2 linked regions of the Cricetulus griseus genome follow. The protein of the gene in region 2 interacts with the protein of the main gene of each other region in a biochemical or structural test. Links are inferred from orthologs where the notes say so. Each region holds a gene or a part of one and is shown on either strand. Other genes may lie near its edges.

Evidence for each region.
Region 1: the proteins of Nfe2l2 (region 2) and Enc1 form a complex in vitro, tested with the Homo sapiens proteins (2 studies listed by BioGRID). The link is inferred for Cricetulus griseus from reciprocal best matches to the Homo sapiens genes NFE2L2 and ENC1.

The regions. Positions count from the first base shown.
Region 1 is NC_048595.1:315,972,442-315,976,007, forward strand, and holds part of Enc1 (ectoderm-neural cortex protein 1), read left to right. Parts: intron 1-900; 5' UTR 901-913; coding exon 914-2,683; 3' UTR 2,684-2,714; intron 2,715-3,566. UniProt on the Homo sapiens protein: Actin-binding protein involved in the regulation of neuronal process formation and in differentiation of neural crest cells.
Region 2 is NC_048599.1:99,368,026-99,372,275, forward strand, and holds the start of Nfe2l2 (nuclear factor erythroid 2-related factor 2), read left to right. Parts: upstream 1-1,432; 5' UTR 1,433-1,628; coding exon 1,629-1,673; intron 1,674-2,553; exon of another isoform or gene 2,554-2,704; intron 2,705-4,250.

The DNA.
Region 1 (3,566 bases), on a different chromosome or scaffold from region 2:
ATGCAGGTGCAGCATTTGCAGGTACATAACAGTCCTGGTGATGGAGTGTTTAATCAAAGGGGGGTGGATGCATCCTTTGTTCTTGTGCCGGTTTTCCAAGAACTGGTATAGAGCAGGAAGAAAAGAAAAACAGCATGAGCTGCCTACTCAAAATATTCTTCCTTTTATGTGCCAAAGTGTCATTCTGGAATCTGTCCAGGTTCAGGAAGATGGGTGGTAATTGTGGCCAGAATCTATTTTGTGCTTTCACTGAGGTCTGCTGATCAATGTATGGAAATATTTACATTCTCCTGCATTTAGAGCTCTGGTGGCAGAGCTGTCTAGTTAGAAACTGTCTGTTTAACCTTTGTGTAAAAGTCTGACCTCTTCATGAGTTTGGTAGTTACATGTATGCAGAGTTTGGATCTTACCAAAGGAATTCTTAATAGAATTTCTAATTAGTAGGTGTTTGTTTTACACATGGCTTTATATTGCATAGGGCATTAAAGCCGGTGCCCTCCTGACGTTCTTGGCATTATGAGCGGGAAGCTTGGCATTTTAAGTGGCCTGGAGTGAATCAGCTGGCCTGGCGCTGGGAACCGAGAGAATGAGTTGGGCTTCCCTCAGCTTCTGCTGACTTACATTCTGGCAGTCAGGTTTTCCAAGATAAACCTGCTTATAAGCCATTACTCCCCTCCCCCCAACAGTATATGATTCAAATAGCTCAACAGTATTACAAGGAATGTGTTCCCTCCCAGGTAGTTCTCCCTGGCTTTGTTCTATAGCAGCCATACCCATCTCGGATCAGTAGTAGCAGGACAAACTAGGCTGTTTTCTTTGTCTAAGTGATTGTTGCTTTTGTGCTATGTCTGGGAATATCAAGAGCAACGTGTTCAATGGGTTTGTTTTGTTTTCTTTTAGGAGTTGAAACAAAATGTCAGTCAGTGTGCATGAGAACCGCAAGTCCAGAGCCAGCAGTGGCTCCATCAATATCTACCTGTTTCATAAGTCTTCCTATGCGGACAGTGTCCTCACTCACTTGAACCTTCTACGTCAGCAGAGGCTCTTCACCGATGTCCTCCTCCATGCTGGAAACAGGACCTTCCCTTGCCACCGGGCAGTGCTGGCTGCATGCAGCCGCTACTTTGAAGCCATGTTCAGTGGTGGCCTGAAAGAGAGCCAGGACAGTGAGGTCAACTTCGACAATTCCATCCACCCAGAAGTCTTAGAGCTGCTTCTCGACTATGCATACTCCTCCCGGGTCATCATCAATGAAGAAAATGCCGAGTCGCTCCTGGAAGCTGGTGACATGCTGGAATTTCAAGATATCAGAGATGCATGTGCAGAATTTCTGGAAAAGAACCTGCATCCCACCAACTGCCTGGGTATGCTGCTGCTGTCTGATGCACACCAGTGCACCAAGCTCTATGAACTCTCATGGAGAATGTGTCTCAGCAACTTCCAAACCATCCGCAAGAATGAAGATTTCCTCCAGTTGCCCCAGGACATGGTTGTGCAGCTCTTGTCTAGTGAAGAACTGGAGACAGAAGACGAAAGGCTTGTGTATGAGTCTGCCATGAACTGGATTAGCTATGACCTGAAGAAGCGCTACTGTTACCTCCCTGAACTGTTGCAGACTGTGAGGCTGGCCCTCCTTCCTGCCATCTATCTCATGGAGAATGTGGCGATGGAAGAACTCATCACCAAGCAGAGGAAGAGTAAGGAGATTGTGGAAGAGGCCATCCGGTGCAAACTGAAAATCTTGCAGAATGACGGTGTGGTGACCAGCCTCTGTGCCCGCCCACGGAAAACTGGCCATGCCCTCTTCCTCCTGGGAGGACAGACTTTCATGTGTGACAAACTGTATTTGGTAGACCAGAAGGCTAAAGAAATCATTCCCAAGGCTGACATTCCCAGCCCAAGGAAAGAGTTCAGTGCGTGTGCAATTGGCTGCAAAGTGTACATTACTGGGGGGCGGGGATCCGAAAACGGAGTCTCAAAAGATGTCTGGGTTTATGATACCCTGCATGAGGAGTGGTCCAAGGCTGCCCCCATGCTGGTGGCCAGGTTCGGTCATGGATCTGCTGAACTGAAGCACTGCCTGTATGTGGTCGGTGGGCACACAGCTGCAACTGGTTGCCTCCCAGCCTCCCCCTCAGTGTCTCTAAAGCAAGTAGAACATTATGACCCCACAACCAACAAATGGACCATGGTGGCCCCACTCCGAGAAGGCGTCAGCAATGCTGCTGTAGTGAGTGCTAAGCTCAAGCTGTTTGCTTTTGGAGGTACCAGTGTAAGTCATGACAAGCTTCCCAAGGTTCAGTGTTATGATCAATGTGAGAACAGGTGGACAGTACCGGCCACCTGTCCCCAGCCCTGGCGTTACACAGCAGCAGCTGTGCTGGGGAACCAGATATTTATTATGGGTGGAGATACAGAGTTCTCTGCCTGCTCTGCTTACAAATTCAATAGTGAGACTTACCAGTGGACCAAGGTGGGAGATGTGACAGCCAAGCGCATGAGCTGCCATGCTGTGGCCTCCGGGAACAAGCTTTATGTAGTCGGAGGATACTTTGGCATTCAACGCTGCAAGACTTTGGACTGTTACGATCCAACTTTAGATGTATGGAACAGCATAACCACAGTCCCGTACTCACTGATCCCTACCGCGTTCGTCAGCACCTGGAAGCATCTGCCTTCTTAAAGTACAGCATCCTGAAGAAAGTGCGTAAGAGGTAAGAAAGCAGAGCTGGAGATGCAAGGGTGAATTTCAGCAGGGTAGCCTAAGTTCAGAGGATGTGCAATGAGATGTATTGCTTGTTACCCATCCGAAGTTTCATAGAAACTATAAAAAAGAAAGGCTTTTCACCCTTACAGGATAACTACTGTGCTAGCCACCACTGCAAACGCCCTGCCAACAGAAACCAGTGGTTCTCAGCCATCATGGAACCTCAGAATCTCGCAAAGAGATTTGCAGAAACTGCCCATTCTAGAGACTTTGCTTTTATTTGGTCCAGGTGGAACCTAAGCATCAATACTTTTTATATGCCTTTGTGTTTTACCTGCATGTCTGTGTGAGGGTATTGGATCCCCTGGAACTACAGACAGTTATGAGCTGCCATGTGGGTGCTGGGAATTGGACCCAGGTCCCCTGGAAGAGCAACCAGTGCTCTTAAACTCTGAGCCATCTCTCCAGCCCCACATCAGTACTTTAAAGAAAGTTTCCCATTAGTATCCGACCAGTTTGGGAACTCTAGGCGTACATTAGTAATTCCAGTTAGTGGTTGTGAAATGTCTTGTGTTCCTAGAACAGGACCGTATGCTTCACTCAAGCATCCTTTTGATGCTCAGAACAACCCCTGGGTGCTATTCTTAACCTCCCTAGTCAGGTGAGCAAGCCTGGTGCCTGTGGAGCATCACTAGTAAATTGTCCAGCATCACAGACCTCAGCAAGTGGTCAACCTAGTCAAGAAATCCACTGGGCAGTCTGACTCTAGAACACAAACACTTAGTGTGTAATCAAGCTGCTGCCTGGTAAACTTGAACTTCATCTTGTTATCATGCCAGGGATACTGGGTTGCTGTTAT
Region 2 (4,250 bases):
CGTCCATGGAATCCACCATGCCCTCCCCCACCCCCTGCAGGACCCCCTTCCTACTTTATCCTAGCATTTGAAGCAAAAGAACAACAATTAACACATTAGTGAACGCCCCTCGATTTTTTTCTAGGCCCTTTACGATCTGTTTTATAGATTGGATTTTTTTTTTCAGGGGCTAGGGAAGTATGTTTGGGAATGGACATTGTAAAAACAATCACCATCTCGGACAACAGAACCTAGTGGCATAGCCTATATTGGAGCCATGGGTCGTGACCCCTTTGGGGATGGATCAACTTTCACAGAGGTCACATTTCAGATATCAAATATTTACATTGTGATACATAACAGCAAAATTACAGTTATAAAGTAGCAGCAAAAGTAATTTTATGGTTTAGGGTCACAAGAGAAACTGTACTAAATGGTAGTAGCATTAGGAAGGTTGAGAACCACTGCTATATACCAGCCTTTGGGAGGTGGAGGCAGGAGGATAAGGAGCTCAAAACCACCCAGGTTTCATGAGACCCTATCTCAAAGTTCCAAAATAAAATCGTAAAAAAGAGGGGGAACTGTATCATGAGGATCCACACCTGTGAAGGATGCTATTTGTTGTGTGGCTGCTTCCTGTGTGTTCTGGGTGAACGACCCACACACTCCTTCAGCTCTGGCCGCTAGATGCGGGCACGTGGGAGAAATAGAGGGCGTTCACTTAAGTTTGCAATGTGGACGCATCTCCCTGGGGCAGAGCTGTCCCGCACCAGCATGAGCAGGACAGGGGGACAGAGAGCAGTTGGCTGTCTGCACAGTCCCTGCCCAGAGCCCCCACCCCCGGCTGGCGCCACAGTCAGCCGGTGGGGCGAGATAAAGCGGGCAAGGTTCTGCGGATCCGAATCAGGGAGGCGCAGCTCCGATAGCAGCGCCCGGGATGGGCTCCCGGTGTGTTTGCTCCAACTGTTTAAACTGCTTCAAAGCGCCAGAGCCCCAGCGACCTTCAGCAAACAGCTGCTAATCTCTAGCCAGGGAGAGCTGTCCCAGCGAGGACTCGGGCAGCCCAGGGCCTCTCGCCCGCACTCCGCCCCCGTGGGACCACGGCCACGCCCGGACCACCGCTAGAGGATGGTCATCAGCGGAGGCCGAGGGGAATACAGCAACTCTTGCCGGAAGCCCTCAGGCCCTTGACCCGCCCCTCTGGTCCCAGCCTTGTCCCTTTACCCTTGCCCCGCCCTAGGGCAAGCCCTCTGGCCCTTGCCCCGCCCCTCCGGCCCCTCTAAGTACCTTTACTCTCGCTCCGCCCTTCGCCATGTCTTCGGACCCTTTCCCTGCCCAGGACCCTTGCACGACTCCAGGCTCTTGCCCCGCCCCCAGTCCCTTGCCCCGCCCCCGGGCCCTCGCCGGGGACTCTAGCCCTTGCCTCTCGCTCCAGCCCTCACTCCGCCCTTAAGTTCCTGTCGCTTCCCCAGGTCCTTGTTCCGCCCCCAGGGGGCGGGGGGCGGAGCGGACTGAGACTGGCCGGACACTCAAGCGAGCCGGCTGTCTGCTGGATCCCGGCAGCTCCGTCGAGTCACTGCCGCCGCCGCACCTCGGCAGCCAACGTAGCGTCGCCGTCGGGGATCCTCAGTGCAGCGTTCGTCCTCAGCATGATGGACTTGGAGTTGCCGCCGCCAGGACTACAGTCCCAGCAGGTGCTGCCCCGGCCCTTGGGCTTATCGGCTGTGCCAGGAAGCAGACGGGAGCTCGAGGGGACAGTGGTCCCGGGAGGGAGGGACAGTCTGAACCCAGACTGCGACAGCCCGACCTGGGAGCTGCCCCCCGCCGGGCCGGGAAGGCAACGGGGGTGTTGGGGCAGCGATGAGAGTAGGGACCGAGCCTGAGGTCCCCGGGGGCACTGGGGTTGGGGTGTGGAGGAAGCTCGGGCTTGGTGGGGCCAGAGGGCATCAACACCACCTCGCTGGGTCGGATGCTCAGAGGCGGCGGGAGGGGGCGGACGCTGGCTGTCTTCGCCGGCGCAGCCCGGCCCTTTCCGGGCTTGCGTAGTTTCCCAGATTCGGTGCCGGTAAAAATGTGCCTAGTCACGGGGCCGTGCTCGGGGGAGCTGAGGTCTCCTCGGCGACCGCCCCGGAGACTGCTTCCCTCCCCTGGCCGCGACCTCCAGCGCGGCTGCCAAGCCCCCTTGGCCGTCTGTGGTTTTCTCAGCCCGAGAGCTCGTCGTCTGTAGGATCATGCCAGTCCGGCTTGATCTAGAAAAGCCCAGCCCTCTGGGGGCGGAAGAGAAAGTCACCGGGTGACCCTCGTGCTCAGGTGCCCCGACGGGCAGGGCTCCTCGCGCTTCCTCAGCCCGGGAATCCGGCATTGGCCTCACATCAGGCGAGGACTTGAGGACCTGGGCGGGCTCAGAGGCCCTAGGCAGCCGCACGCGGGGCTGTGTGTTCTGAGCGTCGTGACTCGCGGGGCCCCCACACTGTGTATGTGTGCGTGGCTGTGGCCTCCGGGTGGGTGACAGCGGCCGGTTGGCAGTCACGGAGGCCCTCGGTTGGCCCTTTCCTGCTTTATAGCGTGCAAACCTCGCTGCTCTGGGGCCAAGGGACAAGTTGGAGCTGTTGATCTGTTGCGCAATTGTTATTTTCCCCTGGGCGGCTTTGTCTTTGGATTTAGCATTGCAGAATTGCAGTCCCAGAATGTGTAAAGCAGGATATTCTGTTCCTTGCCGTCAAGGGTAAGAGTTGTAGATTAGAATTTGTTGCTTTTTATATTGACGATGAAGTTTTTGCGTTTAGCTATTATCCCTCCCTTGTGTCTTTAGTACATTTTTCCTTAGTGTTTGAGATTTTTTGCCTCCTCGATTTCTTAGCACATTGTGAACTTTTATGAACAGAGAGGATGGGACGCTTTCGTTTCATAACCCCTTGTTGATAAGTTTTGAAGATTGTTATGTAAGTGAAAATCAGTTTTTGGTCATACTTCTGGCACTTTTAAAGAAGTAAATGCTTATGTTGCCATTGTGTTGTACTTGGATTTTTAGGAAAAGGGAATGTGTAACTTGGTAAACAGAAAGTTAATTTAAATGTTAAATCGCTGACCCTGAAGGGCCTGATGTAAGCTTTTAGTTACTGACAGTGCATTAATTCTACTCCCTCTCTTGAACTTTCCCCCAGAAATGATTGGGGTTGTAGCTGGTTTTCATTAGGATGAATAAGTAAACTGTACTTTCTGATCTTCTGTTCTTCATTAGTAATCAAAAGGAATGCTTGTCTGGCCACAGGATACATGATACAAACGAACTTTGATTTTAAAGTTTTCTTCTTTTTTCTGTGTAGCATGTAGCATAACATTTCATGTACAAAAATGGCAGATGTACTGCTTTCTCCTCCATGTGAAAGTTTTCTTTGCCAACAACATTTCTTGTTATTTCCAGACAGCAACTTTGAAAAACAGAATTAAAAATTATAATTCATCTTAAAATCATTGTTTGGTAGTCCAGAAGGATTTGAACTGAGTTACAGATTTGAGCAAATGGTTGTGTTGTTGTAGGATAATGGTTTTAACTGCTCAATGACTCTTCATCTCAGGGGGAAAGCCATCCATTACTCTTTTCAGTGGTGTCTTGGAAAGATAAAAGTTGATGAAGTTGATATTGAAGATGAAGTTGATATTGAACGAGACAGATAAGCTTATTTTTAAACGTTAGACACAGAGAAAGTGGACAAGCCTTTCCTCTGGAATGAATGTTAAGCAAGACCAACTTGACTTTTTAGATATATGGAACATCTCTGAGACGTTACAGAAACCAAATGTGGATTGATAAATACACGACCACATCAGTCTTTCTATCTTAAAAATAACTAAGGCAGTGGCTGGGGAGATGGCTCAGTGGTTAAGAGCACTGTCTGTTCATCCAGAGGACCCAGGTTCAATTCCCAGCACCCACACAACAGCTCCCAACTATCTGTAACTCCAGTTCCAGGGTATCCAACACCCTCATACAAACATCCATGCAGGCAAAAACACAATGCATAAGAATAAAAAAAAATAAATGACTAAAAAAAATAATTAGGGCCATTTTGAAATTTCATTTATATTAACTTGGGTCCTTAAAAACAATGCTGGGGGAACAATCCTCTTTTAGGATTACCGGTGAGAGTTGAAAGCCAGATACGTGGTTCTTCTTAATGTTCATTTTTATTTAGGATGAGTTATGCTAAGCAAAGCTGCAGGAGAAAGGAGCACTTGAGCAGTTACCTTTATTTCTAGATGTTTCCTTC